Linked DNA regions of Arabidopsis thaliana. The protein of the gene in region 2 interacts with the protein of the main gene of each other region in a pairwise test. Each region holds a gene or a part of one and is shown on either strand. Other genes may lie near its edges.

Region 1 (8,871 bases), on a different chromosome or scaffold from region 2:
CAAAATTAAATTAAATATTATAAAAAATTAAAAAATAAATACACAACATAAACTATGAAATTTTTTATATCAGTGTTAAGAAAATTAAAATAGATTGAACAAAAAAAATAAAGTGAACAAAAAACTATCATAAACATCACAAATAAAAATAAAAATTCTATGAATACGTAGGCTTTTTACAGTCTCTCGACCGACACGTCGACATTCACAGAATGGTGAAGATGTTTCTAGTAAGACCGTGGGGTGATTTATCAACGGTGGTGATTATGGAATCTTAAATGGATGTTTTGATAGATCCAGTGGGATGGACTCCATGAAATAGCAGCACTAGTGGGGATTTGTCCACATTGTTCTACCGCGAATATCAAAACAAAGGCCCCAGAGCAAACGCAAGCCAGAGAGTCCATCCGAATGGGAACAAGATCATCACAGACCCGATGGAAGCAGTCATGTTTACGGTTAGAGAGTTCATAAATAGAGATTCGTGGCTCAACGCCACCGGAGTTCCATACAACGAGGGTTAATGATTAAAGAGAAATTGTAAAAAATGTTCTTCCAAAATTATCATTTTTTAATTATAACCTTTCCTGTTAGTCATTTTCATTTATACGTTAATTTAATTTTTAATGACTATTTTACTCATATTTTGAAAATATTTTAGGTTAACAAAATAGAATATCGATTTTTTTCGCCAAAAATATTCCGAAAATAATTTTTCTGTCAATTTTTTTTTTCCAAAAACATTTTTCCCGTTTTTGTTTTGGCGATAAATAGATTTGTAAATGGTTTTAAAAGTAAGGAAATGTGATAGATTACAATGATTTTTAAATGTAAATTGGTGGGAATTGTTTTGATGGGAAAAATAAAAAATTTGTAAGGAAATTGTTTTTTGGCATTGGTAGAAAATAGAGATTGAGACCTAAGTCGAGCAAGTTCCACAATTATTGGGCTTAGATCAATCGCCGTAGAGTTAATACTATACGAAAAAGACCAAAATTGGTCTCTTGGTAATGGGCTTTATTCTCAAGTATGTATATGTATGTTTCTCGTAAACGACATCGTTATAGTAGAATTAGGGCTTAATAACGATGTCGTTTCAAATCTTTCCAAAAGGACCAAAATTAGCCCTCTTGTTTCCAATTCCGGGACTGGAAAGACCGCTCAAACAATTCCAATCACAACGCCGACTAGAAACAGAAGCCTCCGGCGAACTTCTCCCTCCTCAAAAAATCTCTCTCTCTCTCTGATATGCTATCTCTTATTATCTTTCGATTGTCCCACTTGGTATCTTATTAGTGGTCTTGTGCCAATGTGTGATTTGAATAGAGCCATTTTAACGAACTCCTGAACTTATGATTCTCTTGTCTTTAGTGTTCTTGTCTCTCTGTAGATAGTTAAAGCTGTGTCCTTTTTTTCTTCCATAAATCTCAGTGCTGTATAACTACATTGTAATGAACCCTACCCGTTCATACATTTGTTTAAGAAGTCCAGCTATGTCACTTACCACATTCCATGGAATCAATGCTTCTATTCATGTTTAAAATCCAGTTTAAAGCCTGCAAGTGTGAGTGTATCTAGTGTTCATTGATATTCCTCAAGATCAAAGACTGCTAAATCAAAGATGTCAAAAAGCTCTGTTTCTGTTTCGGATTTGATTGATTGTCAAGCTCAAGTTGGATCTTCGGTGAATTCATCTTCCTCAAGAAAGATAAGAAGGCGGACATAAATACATTCATGGAAAAGCTTGTGTCATGGGAAACTGTAAGCACAAGGTTGGAATCCGCAATTGCTCGAGCAGTGCAACGAGAACAAGAAGGAACAGAGACAGAAGATGAAGAGAATCCAGATGACCAAGAGCCAGAGGTCTATTTAGATAGTGATATCGATGTATCTGAGGTTGACTAAAACCTCTGAAGCAATAACATTAGCATCTTAAATGTCAATTACAGGAGCAAAAAAATTTGCATTCTTAAGCCCCAAACATTAAATTAAATTTTGAGACTGTTGGGAGTTAAATAAATGACTAACTTAAGCAAAAACAAAAAGCTTTGTTACAAATTTACATTCCTCCTATTTGGGGTCTAATGATGAGTTACTGCGAGGAGACCTTTGATTGGATAAACCCAAATATCTTTCTTCAGATGGTGAATGTCTGTAAACCCTTTGTATACCATATGGTAACTGTTGTTGTCCATGAATTGGAGGAGAGTACTGTAGTGGATGTCTCTGTCCGTGAACCAAAGACGGAGAGTACTGTCGATGAAGTCTATGTCCGTGACCTGGAGAATATGAATTTGGGGCCAGATGTTCATATGCATATACACTTCTTCCTAACCCACCATGTGGAAGTGGAACCATATATTCCGGGGATCTTCTTGAGCGATGAGGAAAAGATGTTGACGGGCCGAGGTAACTACTCACAAGAGCTGATATTTCATCTTGGTCATCGTCTCTTTGACTAGGAAAGCTTCTATCACGGTAGATAGGAGAATACGATGAAGAAGTTACTGGTGGCATTTCCATGGGTGATAACCTTGGACGTTTTATCTGTTGGTTATACATTCTCTTGGCAAGTGCGGCTTCCTCCATTAAACTGAGAGATCTTGCTTTCTCTTCCATCTCTTTGTCGAGCTGAAGAGTGTCTTTCTCCAAGCTAACAATTTGCTCTTTGATCTGCCATCCTGGTAGTTCTTTCGCAGGATCTAACTTGTGAGTCTCCATACACTGCATAACTGATGATAACACAGCTAGCTGCTTTGTAGCCGCTTCTTTCTGTTGAGAAATAAATATATCAATGGTCAGACTCAGATGATGATAAAGAGTTCATAAAGGTACATAATGTGCAAGGGAAGGGTTCATACAAATGCCAGCGGTGACTGGGCTTTCCGTTTTGCCCTCTCAAATGACTCCTTGCTCATCTTTAAGAATGAAGTTAGAACTAGAGCAGCTGAAAACTTATCCTCCATGCCAAAGGTATAAACCATTTCAAGAGCTTCAATATGCATTCCACGCTTGATACTTGATTCAACTATACCTATGACCAATAGAATATTGTGTAAGTACCACTTCTTAGAGTTGGCATTGCTTAAGCTTAATTAGTATCCAACAGCTAAGTCATATGATTTTAACTTCCAATATTGGAAACCACAAGAAACACTATTTCAAGGCAATAGCCTATCATTTGGTTCTGACAAGCAACAATTTCGTACCAAAACCTATGGTTGAGAGTTCCAAGTTCTTTCCAGATTAATTTCTAGCTAGGATTTGGCTCAATCAGTCATTGCACTCTAAATATTTGATGTGCTCTCCTAGTTTATACCATCAAGCTTATCGAAAAACAAAGATGGAACTTGATGTTGGTCGATGATGTCAACAAAAGGAACCACCTTTGCAATGAAATTCACCGAGTGAGAACAGAATATGGTACCTGAAACTGTGACCGCTTCAAAGCACCGGCAATCTCATTCGAACCACTCATCCTTATCAAATCCAGCAAATCTGTACTCCTAAAGTTTGAAGGAACACCAAAACAAGCAACTAGTAAAAGCAAACCCCTTGCATCCATTTTCTCAGCCGCAGCTAATCCTCCTTCAGTCATCAACCTTTTCCTCCAAGCAACAGCAGCCGTCTCCGCCTCATCTTTAATCCAACTCTCAATCTTCACCTTCCCTTTACCACGATCAGGCATTAGAAGAAAAGACTCCAGTATAAGAAGCGAAACTTGTCTCGCAGAGCTCATAGGCGACTCTTTAGTAAATGCTCTACGCCCTTGTAAGTAAAACTTGCCAATACAATCCAATACAAACTTCGCTGGCTCCTTGGCCAATTTCAAAGCTGAAGGAATCTCTTCCATTAACTTAGCTTGATCAGAGATATTCGCGTATATGTATTTACGCAGACCTTTGCTACACATCAACTCACATATACGTTCCCCCTCCGGTTTATTCGACGTCTCCGGTACAATCTCCTGAGACGGTTGGCTCACAGTGACGGTGGTTTCTACAGATACATTGTTCCGCGGAGGCGATAACATCGGCTGATGGAAATTATTGTTCCGCGCGGCGAGGACAACGCCGTTACTCTCGAGTTTGGAATCAATTGCGTTTTCGATTGACTCGATGTGCTTCTGAAGATCATCGAATTGGCGTTTGAATGTTTCCACTGCAACTGAAAACGCAGCTAATTCGTCTATGGATTTCAAAAATTGAGGCTGCTTAGATTGACCGATCGTAATGTCCATACTTGTAGACTCTGTTTCGACAATCTTCGGTAATTCTCTTCGTCGCTGTTCAGATTGATGTCGCTGCAGCAGTGGATTCGCCGTCGTTGTGGGTTGCGCCGCCACCGTCGGTGGATAATTGGACATGAGATTGCGGCGAAGAAAAAAGATTGCAGAAGCCCTAATTTCCACTCTCCTTAAATCGGTCAAATTACCAAATTTTATTGAACTGTATATTGTGAAGTTCACATAAATTATATATTAATTAGGAAGTAACCTATCTTTTAATTAGGAGAAAACGACTTTTTCCTTTGAGGTAATCGTTATATGTTTAGGGCTTTTATAGTTTTGCTTATGAAAATATGTATTTGTGTTTAATAATTTAATAAAAGTCAGATATATATACACTCTTTTGAGTCTATGCCAAATAATTGAATCTACGCACTTTTCTCTTTATTCTTTGTATTTGATTAATGAAAACATAGTTAGGTTGCATGATTACGACATGTAATATATTGTTTTAAATAGTCACTAAAGCAGTGGTTTATAACATGTCTAATCACAAATAACGGTTCTTGCTCGGTAATATGAACCCAAAAGTTACTGTCTTACTCTACCTGCACTAATGGGGGTGATGGTGTGCTCTTTTTAGTCTTCAAACACGATAATCCCATGATAAAATCCTTGTGTACTTGGTTTAAGTTGTGACTTGTGAGTACTTTTAGTTTTAGGTGGGAAAGAAATGAAAACATTGTGGGCTGACGGTACTAGGTAAGCCCAATAAGGAAAACGACTCTACGCAATCAGAGAAGGTCGCCAAGCGTACGGTCGCTCCCTCATCAACGAACAACGTCGCTCGCTTTTTTATTAATAATAGTTCACAAATATTAAAACACATTTGGAAAATGACTTGGTCACGCGCACCCAAAGGCAGTGCAAAACTAAACGAGCCACCTATCAGTAAAACGTAGCCGTTGATTCGAACCACGTGTATATTGCACGCACCACATGCGAGTACGAGTAAGAGAGTTGGTGGTATATTCACGGCATATTATATGTGCACGAATTGAATCTCTCTAAGCACGAGAGGGCATTTTCGTAACTTTCTTATAAAAAAATCCTACCACGAGTGATTGGGCAAAAAAAAACTGAAAGAGGAAAGAGAGAGTTGGACGGAAAATCTGAAGACCGCCGAGAAAAATACTGTTGAAACGGAACTCTCTTACGTTTTTTCTCAGGAGATACGTTTCATCTTCCTCTCAGTAACTACTCGATTCTCACTCACTCTCGCCGCCATTGATTCTTCATCAGCTGAAGCCTTGAAGCTCTCTTCTCTTATGATCGGTCAGTCTCTTGTTCTCTCCGTCTTTCTGCAGCAGTAATATGGATTTTGCGTCTAGCGTTCAGCGCCAGAGTATGTTTCACGGTGGTGCGGATTTTGCGAGTTACTGCTTGCCGAATCGAATGATAAGTGCGAAACTCTGTCCCAAAGGACTCGGCGGCACTAGATTTTGGGATCCGATGATTGATTCTAAAGTTCGCTCAGCTATTAGATCGAAACGAAATGTATCGTATCGTTCTTCTTTGACTTTGAATGCTGATTTCAATGGAAGATTTTACGGTCATTTGCTTCCTGCAAAACCCCAAAATGTTCCGCTGGGGTTTAGGTTACTTTGTCAAAGTAGCGATTCTGTAGGAGATTTGGTTGGGAATGACCGGAATTTGGAATTTGCTGAAGGTAGTGATGACAGGGAGGTTACGTTTTCTAAGGAAGAGAAAGACACAAGAGAGCAAGATTCTGCACCTAGTTTGGAGGAACTCAGGGATCTACTGAATAAGGCAACTAAAGAATTGGAAGTGGCTAGTCTCAACAGTACCATGTTTGAAGAAAAGGCTCAGAGGATTTCAGAGGTAGCGATAGCACTTAAGGATGAAGCAGCCAGTGCGTGGAACGATGTAAACCAAACACTTAATGTGGTTCAAGAGGCTGTTGATGAAGAGTCCGTTGCTAAAGAAGCTGTTCAGAAGGCTACTATGGCATTATCTCTGGCTGAAGCAAGGCTGCAGGTTGCACTTGAATCACTAGAAGCAGAAGGGTACAATACTTCTGAAGAGAGTGAGGTTAGAGATGGTGTTAAAGATAAAGAGGAAGCCCTTTTATCTGCTAAGGCTGACATAAAAGAATGCCAAGAAAATTTAGCAAGCTGTGAGGAACAACTCAGGCGTTTGCAAGTTAAGAAGGACGAGCTGCAGAAGGAAGTAGATAGATTGAATGAGGCTGCCGAGAGAGCGCAGATCAGCGCATTGAAAGCCGAGGAGGATGTTGCAAATATCATGGTTTTGGCCGAACAAGCTGTGGCATTTGAGCTTGAGGCTACTCAACGTGTGAATGATGCAGAGATTGCTTTGCAAAGAGCAGAGAAGACTCTTTTTGGTTCCCAAACCCAAGAAACAACCCAGGGAAAGGTATTGGATGGAAAGAATACTATTGTTGGTGAGGATGAAGTCTTGAGTGAAATTGTTGATGTAAGCCATCAGGCTGAAAGAGACTTAGTAGTAGTTGGAGTTTCATCAGATGTTGGGACTCAGTCTTACGAGTCAGATAATGAGAACGGAAAGCCAACTGCAGATTTTGCTAAAGAGGCTGAAGGAGAAGCAGAGAAGTCAAAGAATGTTGTTCTGACAAAAAAACAGGAAGTGCAGAAAGATCTGCCAAGGGAGAGTTCATCTCATAATGGTACCAAGACATCATTGAAGAAATCCTCTCGTTTCTTTCCTGCATCTTTCTTCTCTTCCAATGGGGATGGAACCGCAACAGTTTTTGAGAGTTTAGTTGAATCTGCGAAACAGCAGTGGCCTAAGCTAATTCTTGGATTTACACTTCTTGGGGCAGGGTTAGTTGGATACTCAATTGTTTTGACGAATTATGATAAACCATAAACTTTTTTGTCTGTTTTTTTTTAATAGCAAGTTTTCTGATTCATTCTAGAGTGGCAATCTATTCCAACGGAGTAGGAAGGAACAATCAGCTGCCACAACAGCCAAATATTGTCAGCACTAGCGCAGAAGATGTTTCCTCCAGCACAAAACCTCTGATCCGTCAGATGCAGAAACTTCCAAAGAGAATAAAGAAACTACTTGAGATGTTCCCTCAGCAAGAGGTATGAGTGGTCATGCAGGAAATGTACTCTTTCACGAGTCCCATACATACCTTATGGAATTTAACTGTCTGCCTCCAACTTTTATAACACTTAGGTTAATGAGGAGGAAGCTTCCCTTCTCGATGTGTTGTGGTTACTGCTTGCAAGCGTCATATTCGTGCCTCTATTTCAGAAAATTCCTGGAGGTAACGTAATATATTAATTCACTCATTGTATTTTAAATCCCCATATTTTGTCCTCCTTGTTTCATTTGGACTTGTACTATTCATTGTTATCATCAGACAAACCATTTCACTTCTGTTGCCGCAATCATAATGCATAGAGATTTAAATGCTATCTTGTTGGTTTCTTCTGCTGCAATCTATAGGCAGCCCTGTTCTTGGGTATTTGGCGGCGGGAATCTTGATTGGTCCTTATGGTCTCTCAATAATTCGTAATGTGCATGGAACCAAGGCCATTGCAGAATTTGGAGTTGTCTTCTTGCTTTTCAACATTGGCCTTGAGGTTAACTTCAGTATTTGATATATATGTTGTTCCTTTTTCCTTTGATATGTGCTTAGTGGAAAGAAGAGCCAATTATTTCGATTCTATTTGTCTGACAGCTCTCTGTCGAAAGGCTTAGTTCCATGAAGAAATATGTTTTTGGATTAGGCTCCGCGCAGGTGATTTGAGACTCTCTTTATTTTTTTGAGCTACAATGCATGCCTGTTTCTGTCTATATTGCCGTAGTTTAGTCATTTTATCTGATTTTTCATTGTTGTAATCCAGGTTCTGGTAACGGCAGCAGTAATTGGTTTGATCACTCACTATGTTGCTGGTCAGGCTGGTCCAGCAGCAATAGTAATTGGCAATGGCCTGGCATTGTCTTCCACTGCTGTTGTCCTGCAGGTAAAATTCAGTCTCCTTCTTCCAAATTTGCACCAATTTACACTAGGTGAATCTGTTACCGTGTTTTGGGAAGATATCCAAAAATTGTCAGTGCTACTATGTTTTTATGAAATTAATTTTGTGATAGCTCGTTTAGCTTTTTATGCGATTTAGCTACCAATTGGTTGAACTAAGACAATGTACTCGGTTTGCAGGTTTTACAAGAACGGGGTGAGAGCACCTCGAGACATGGACGAGCTACATTTTCGGTCTTGCTTTTTCAGGTTTGTTCAGAACACAAAGTTGTTACTGCGCTTGTATAAAGGCTATCATGCTGGGTAACTCTTTTCAATCTGTTGGTCTTCACAGGATCTGGCTGTGGTCGTGTTACTGATTCTCATCCCACTTATTTCACCTAATTCATCCAAAGGAGGGGTAAGCTTAGCTTTAACGTTTCCCTTTTTTACTTATATTTCCCTTTTGTGTTGTGTTTATTGTGATGTAATGGCAGATGGCGTAAGTTCAATATTTCCTCTGCTCTTTTAAGGAAATACTCATGCTCATGTGTTGCTAATATTTGCTGTCTTGCATATTTCTCAAGGAAGCCTATAAATTATTTTGTAA
Region 2 (7,704 bases):
AACAACATCAACACACGCCTCGACGCACGCACCGTCTCTGTTCTTCTCCGTCACTGTGAATCTAAGCTTCTTTTCGTCGACGTCTTCTCCGTTGATCTCGCCGTTGAAGCGGTCTCGATGATGACGACTGATCCGCCGATTCTCGTCGTCATCGCCGATAAAGAAGAGGAAGGAGGAGTTGCTGACGTGGCTGATCTTTCAAAATTCAGTTACACTTACGATGATCTTATCGAAAGAGGTGATCCGGGTTTTAAATGGATCCGACCCGAAAGCGAATGGGATCCGGTTGTGCTTAATTACACTTCCGGTACGACTTCAGCTCCTAAAGGAGTGGTACACTGCCACAGAGGAATTTTCGTAATGTCAGTTGATTCACTAATTGATTGGGCCGTACCGAAAAATCCGGTTTACTTATGGACTCTACCGATATTTCACTCTAACGGTTGGACCAATCCATGGGGAATCGCCGCCGTCGGAGGAACTAACGTCTGTTTGCGTAAATTTGACGCGCCGTTAATCTACCGTCTGATCCGTGATCACGGCGTCACACACATGTGTGGAGCTCCGGTGGTGCTCAACATGTTATCCGCGACTCAGGAATCTCAGCCTCTTAACCATCCCGTCAACATCTTAACCGCCGGTTCTCCGCCTCCAGCTACCGTCCTCCTCCGAGCCGAATCAATTGGTTTCGTTATCAGTCACGGTTACGGATTAACGGAAACCGCCGGTGTAATCGTCTCGTGCGCGTGGAAGCCAAAATGGAATCATTTACCGGCAAGCGATCGAGCGAGATTGAAGGCACGGCAAGGAGTGAGAACCGTCGGGTTTACTGAAATCGACGTGGTGGATCCTGAATCGGGTTTGAGCGTTGAGAGAAATGGAGAAACTGTCGGAGAAATTGTGATGAGAGGAAGCTCGGTCATGCTCGGTTACTTAAAAGATCCGGTCGGAACAGAGAAAGCTTTAAAGAACGGGTGGTTTTACACCGGAGATGTTGGTGTGATTCATTCCGATGGTTATCTAGAGATTAAAGATAGATCGAAAGATATAATTATAACGGGAGGTGAGAATGTGAGTAGTGTTGAGGTTGAAACGGTGTTGTACACGATTCCGGCGGTGAATGAAGTGGCGGTGGTGGCTAGACCTGATGAGTTTTGGGGAGAGACACCGTGTGCGTTTGTGAGTTTGAAAAATGGGTTTAGTGGGAAACCTACGGAGGAGGAATTGATGGAGTATTGTAGAAAGAAGATGCCCAAGTATATGGTTCCTAAAACGGTGTCGTTTATGGATGAGTTGCCTAAGAGTTCGACGGGAAAGGTTACGAAGTTTGTGCTTAGGGACATTGCAAAGAAGATGGGTGATAAGACAATTTCTTAAACGTCTTTCTTTCACCGTTCCACAAAATTACGAATCACATTGATTCTAATTTTATGGAATGCATATGTTGTACCAATGGACAATGGCTTAATCTATATTTGTAATCCATCTATTGTATACGGGATGTGTTTCCTTTATATGTAACAAAATGGTTTGGGGTTTATTTGTTTTCACGCTGTTTGGAAATTGGAATATTCTTAAAAATATATATTGCCTATGAGCTTATGTAAGATGTTTAAGAATCTTTTTTAGTGTGTTTCATTTTATTAGATTCTTTAATGTTTTAATGAGAAAACAGAAAACCTAAACCCTAATTGTCAAGCTTTCGCTTTCCTACATAAAACATATGTTACTATATTTCTGTGAGAGTAAATATTACTTCTTCCAATCCTTAACCTCATCTCTGTATAAAAATGTCTTCATTCTGGAGGAAGTGACAACAAGTGTCTTAATTTCCCTTATGGAGAAATGAGTTTAGTGGGTACGTATGATCTTTTAGACAAATATTGTGAAGATTTTGCAATTTATTGCAAAACTGGTTTGGTTATTTTTTTAGCGATCGTTACCAAGTTTACAAGTAGTGGACTAGTGGTCAAGCCAGTCCGATGTCTGCAGACTGCAGCTGGTGGTTGCTAACCAGGTTATCTCTTCTATAGTTAGATATGCACTTCCTGGTTTTGGTAATATGGCTTTGACGGAATATGGTAACTACTGTATTAGTCACTTGTTTTACGACATTGGTGATAGAAATGATATATACTTGCTAGGTTTCTGTGGAAGAGCTTGTTGTAGTTGTAGCCTTGTAGGAGCCAAGCAATGCATAATGGAGAACAAGAAGTGTTAGAGCATCATTATCAATGGGTTTTCAAAAAGTTTAGAAAAATTCTTAAAATATTATATAAGATAAAATATGAATAAAAAATAGAAAAGAGTTCTTAGAAAAGTTAAATTGGCTCTTAAATAAGAGATTTTTGATACATTCTCTTAACTTATTAAGAGCCTCCTAATATTTAATTATTATTTTATATATAAAAATGTTAAGAATTTTATTAAGAACCCATGAATAAGGATGGTCTTAGCACATTTTTTCTTTCTCTCTTTTTTCCTATTAAACCCAAACAATTACAAGGTCCATGACGCCAACAAAAGCACGCAGGCCCATAATTATAAATCTTACAAGGCATAAACTGCCTAATACGGCACACATGCCCAAAAACAAGAAAAACCGATCTGCATTATGTATGTTTTTTTCGGCGAGTATGTGCATTATGTATGTTTGATGACTAATTAGTTTGAGTAAAGAAAGATTTTGCTTTTCTGCTTCTGTGTTTTCTTCGACACTTCGATATGTAGTTCCCGTTTCTGGAAGTTGGTGGTCTGGTGTTGGTTGGTGGGTATAGTAAGTATTGTATGAATCGTTTGCATTCCGACATTGGTATGAGATCCGATGTTAATTAGGTTCCTGTGGAAAGGCTCGTTTTCCTTATTGAACTCATGGAAAAGAACAAGTCTAGTTAATTGACGTTATTGATGTTTGTTTGATCACTAGTTGTTGAGTAAGAGAGATTTTGCTTTTCTGCTTTGTTTTGTATTGTGAAAACTGTGTTTTAACTATTTATCAAATGGAAATACAATTTTGGTAACATTAATTGTCCAAGAAATGAACTCTTCAAGACTCTTTAGATTATGAAAGAACAATATAACAGAATCCAACCAAAGTCATCAGCTGGATTAAATAAACCAGCAGTTCTTTGGTTTATGCTGCTTCAGAGGTGTTGTTTCGTTTTAAGAGTGACGCCGCTTCAGTGAGCCGGAATCGATGAAACTGCTTCCACGAATATGCCGTCGTAGAAGACGAAGACACTTTCTTGGCTCTTTCTGAGCTATCAGTAACTAACTTACCTAGTTGTTGTTGTGAAGTAGAGGATCTGCGGCTGCTTTTGTTGAATTGTCCAACTCTATATTTTATGTTATGCTGTATGGATATTGATCACAAGTAACATATTCGACAAAGGAACTTTCGTAGACTCACATAACTGTTTCTCCTGCCTTGTAGGGGAAGAAAGTTCGTGCAGGGGGGATATAAGTTGACAAAGATAGATGGGAAGACTCTGAAATCAAATTTTCTCTTATTTTAATACCACTACTCCTTTTACTAAAGCCAATAAAGAAGAAACATTCAGCTACAGACGTAAAAAAACAATATGGCTGCTGACTTTAAATTTTGGTTATAAAATCACAACCATAACAAAGCTAGGAAGAGAGATAGTCATCAAAATGGATTCCCACTTTCTGGAGAAGATAGGATTTATCTCAAACCAAATCTCCAGAGATAAACTTAAACCAGGAGATCACATCTATTCATGGCGTAACGCTTATATCTACTCTCATCACGGTTCAGTCTCTATCTCTCAATAACGTGACTTTTTTTTTGTTTCGGATTGCATCAAAGATAATCAAATATTTGATGCTCATCCTCAGGAATATATATAGGCGATGAGAAAGTCATTCATTTCACTTGTGGAGGTGGTCTAGAAACTGGAACTGGGACCTTCTTGGACAAGATCGTCGTTAGTGTCATCCCTAATCATAAAGGAGACAATCCTTGTTCTAATTGTGAAGAGCAATTGAATCTCGAAGGTGTAATCTCTTCTTGCCTTGACTGCTTTCTCGCCGGAGGAAACATCTATCTTTTCGAGTACAGTGTCTCTCCAGCTGCATTTATCGCCAAACCTCGACGCGGCACATGCACTATAGCACCTTCGGATCCCTGCGATGAAGTCATTTCCCGCGCCAAATACCTCTTATTGCGGAATGGGTTTGGTGATTACCATGCTTTGGAAAACAATTGTGAAGATTTTGCAATATATTGTAAAACAAGCTTGCTGGTCGGAAAAGACTATGTGTTGGGAAGGGGCGGTCAAGCCAGCTCAGTGAGTGCAGCTGCGTGGCTTGCGCAACTTAGTCCTTTCGGCAGCAAAGCTATTCAGCTATTTGCAGATATTGGTATGAGAAAGGATGCTATTAAGGTGCCCGTCGAGAGCCTCGTTCCTCGCGCATATGCTACTGGTACCTCTAGAAATAGAAGGTGATGAGGTTTGAAGACACGCCAACGGGCGGGTAGGCGAATTCTTCGAAGAATCTATAATGTAGGAAACATGATCCAATATTGTAGAAAAATTCACTACTATTCTATATAAACCAAAAAAACAAAGAATGAGATTCCTCAGACATAGAGTTAGAATGATTTTTTTACTTTCCATCAAGGCAAATATTCTACAAAGATAACATTTTACATTGAGGAGATTAAGATCTTATTGTCGAGATGCAGCTAGCTACTGAGAATAATAAGGCGGGTGGTATTGAGGCGGCAACACATATCCAGTTTGCTGAGCATAGTAAAGAGATTGAGGAGTTGCACCTGAACCAAAGAGCCCAGTTAATGGGTTCACAACAACACCAGAAAATGCTGAGGTCATAAGACCATAAGGGTTCAACTGTAAGCCATGATGACTATGCTCAGGCATAAGAAGAGCTTCTGGTCTAGAAAGTAGCTGCTGACTCGGAACTGGAACTTGTGACCCATTTTTGCAGTCTCTAGTCCGCTTTTTCCCCTTTTGCTGTGGCTCTTGCTTGGGAGGATTAGTCGTGTTGCGTTTCCTCAATGCCTTATTTTTCTCCAGCTCTTCTACACGTTCCTCAACTTTCTCCTGAGTAAACTCTGATTCAAGGTTCTGATCTTTGATGATTTTGATCAATGGTTTCAAGGCACTGACTTCTTTATCAGAGGCTTCGTTCTGCGACTTGAGAGAGTAGTTATCTTCCACGCAAACTCTAAGAGCAGCTTCTCTACAGTCCTTAATGTAAGATTTCAAAACAGGGATTGGCTCAAATTCATCAGTCATCCCACACTCATACATGAATTTGACTGCTAAAATTGGTTTACCAGAATCCAAGAGAGTCTTGATGAGTTTCCCAACTCTTTTCCTATCTACACCAATCTTGTTACAAACCAAAGTTGCTTGCTTATACTTAGCGATCATGAAAACGTAATCAGAAAGCTCCTCTGTGTCAAATTCTGATCCTAATTCAAAAGCTGCGACCAAATGCAGAAACACTAACGCCTCGAAAGGCTTGACACCAACCTTAGATTTCCAATGGTAAGCCAGTTTCTTAGCTCTATTTCTCGTATCAACAGTGATATTCGCATTGATCTCAATCAAAACTTCCATTAACAAAACGAAAACTCTCCTTACATCGAATGATCTTCCCGATGATGACGGTGTGTAGTTCGAACCTTCAATCGCGTCAAGCACCATGGACGCCGTATCCGGAGAGTAACGAATCGCTGCAGAAACTTCCTGATTGAGAGGAGTTTCATCATCCCATATCCTAATCAAATACTTAATCAAACCAATTCCGTCAATCTTCTCACACAAGGCTCTCAACTCCGGCTCAACAACGGGTTGCTCCGATACCTCCTCCGAAGACGACGATTTCCCTGCATCAGAAGCGTCGATTCTATACGAATCATGTTCCAAAGGAGATGTAGAGTGGAGGAGGCGGAAACGGCTAGCAAGGGAGGATTGGAGAGAGGAAAAGTGAGAATCGATCTCAGACCAGGAAAGTGAGAAAGACGGTGAAAGGAGAGAGCGATGAGCTTGAAGATCGTCGAAAGCTTTCTTTAGCTTTTCCTTCTTCTCATCAATCTGATTTATCGCGGTGGCGATAGTCTCACTCGCCGTCATTGTTTGATCTCTAAGATTTCTTTGGCTCTCTCCGGCAAGGATATATAAGAACGTTATCGGTTCGGTTCGGTTCGAGTAAGTTTAATAAAACCAGAACCGAATTGTTTTTCACTTGATTTGGTTCGATTTATAGAAATTGAAATGGTTTGGATGAATTCAATTTCGTTTCTACTCGGTTTAGAGCGACCTCTATTAAGACAAAATCGAGACCACACCAGTCTATAGTCTCTCTTTCGAGTCTGCAGCTAGCGTGAAGACGATGAAATCGATGGGAGGAGATAGATAAGCGCGAATTTGAGAGTGAAAATTCTAAATTCAGACCCATTTTCACCGGCGCGAGTCATCGTTGAACCATGTCTTGGCTTCCTGTAGAATCTGATCCTGGTATATATTCTCTTTAACAATTTGGGGTTCCTGTTTTCTGGATATATAAAGAGATGATGTCAGTAACGAGGTTTTGATAGTGGAGCACTAAAAATGTTTGGAAAATAGTCTTGGCTTCCTGTAGAATCTGATTTATGTTTGGATTTTGTCAAATTAGAAGCCAACAAATGTTGAAAATAGTCTTCTCTGCATCTACAAGAGGTGATACTTACTGTGTGAGGATTGGAAAATAAAAGTATTGATGCTTTTTGAAATTATATATCAACAATGGTGTTTGTCTTATACTAAGTGGATTAGTGTCTCTCGATAGCCATTGTGCCATATATGTGAGTAAGACCAATGTCGCTTTCTTGTTTGTTATTTCTTCATATTTTTTGGTTTTCTGTATTCTATATTTTTAGGTATTTTCACTGAGATTATACAACAAATGCAAGTGAAAGGTGTGCAGGTTGAGGAATTGTATTCCTTGGACTTCAACTCTCTGGATGAAATAAGGTAGTTTACTTGTTACTCTTTCATCTTCTATTGTTCGAAACAGAAGAAAAACAAAGTCAAATTTACCTTGAGTTGTCTGATATTTGCAGACCTGTCTATGGATTGATATTGCTTTACAAGTGGCGTCCAGAAGAAAAGGAGAATCGTGTTGTCATCACAGAGCCAAACCCGAATTTCTTCTTTGCAAGCCAGGTCTTTTACTCTCACATTAGATTTGTGACTCACGGATTTTCCAATCATTACCTTTTTTATAAACTATGTGTTTCTTGCAGATAATCAACAATGCTTGTGCGACCCAAGCGATATTATCAGTCCTCATGAACTCTTCGAGTATTGATATTGGCTCAGAACTATCAGAACTGAAACAATTCGCCAAAGAATTTCCTCCTGAACTGAAAGGTTTAGCCATCAACAACAATGAGGCAATACGTGCAGCTCACAACACATTTGCCAGGCCTGACCCGTCTTCCATCATGGAAGATGAAGAATTAGCTGCTGCGAAAAATCTAGACGAAGATGATGATGTGTATCATTACATCAGCTACTTACCTGTTGATGGTATCTTATATGAGCTCGATGGTCTTAAAGAAGGACCCATTAGTCTTGGACAGTGTCTGGGTGAGCCAGAAGGAATCGAGTGGCTCAGAATGGTCCAACCTGTGGTACAAGAGCAGATTGACCGGTATTCGCAGAATGAGAT

Evidence for each region.
Region 1: the proteins of FRL1 (region 2) and FRI interact in a two-hybrid assay, tested with the Arabidopsis thaliana proteins (one study listed by BioGRID).

Annotation. Positions count from the first base shown.
Region 1 is NC_003075.7:264,521-273,391, reverse strand, and holds FRI (FRIGIDA-like protein), read right to left. Parts: upstream 4,492-8,871; 5' UTR 4,367-4,491; coding exon 3,428-4,366; intron 3,035-3,427; coding exon 3,029-3,034; 3' UTR 2,862-3,028; intron 2,773-2,861; 3' UTR 1,906-2,772; downstream 1-1,905. Other genes in the region: AT4G00651 (Fe superoxide dismutase), read left to right, coding at 1,513-1,562, 1,668-1,905; KEA2 (K+ efflux antiporter 2), read left to right, coding at 5,603-7,113, 7,209-7,380, 7,475-7,565, 7,748-7,884, 7,983-8,042, 8,149-8,268, 8,463-8,531, 8,617-8,682.
Region 2 is NC_003076.8:5,342,928-5,350,631, reverse strand, and holds FRL1 (FRIGIDA like 1), read right to left. Parts: upstream 6,138-7,704; 5' UTR 6,126-6,137; coding exon 4,713-6,125; 3' UTR 4,526-4,712; downstream 1-4,525. Other genes in the region: AT5G16340 (AMP-dependent synthetase and ligase family protein), read left to right, coding at 1-1,377; AT5G16330 (NC domain-containing protein-like protein), read left to right, coding at 3,655-3,772, 3,859-4,469; UCH1 (Peptidase C12, ubiquitin carboxyl-terminal hydrolase 1), read left to right, coding at 6,479-6,509, 6,911-7,004, 7,094-7,196, 7,277-7,704. UniProt on the Arabidopsis thaliana protein: Required for FRI-mediated up-regulation of FLC transcripts, but not redundant with FRI and only partially redundant with FRL2. Required for the stabilization of the FRI-C complex.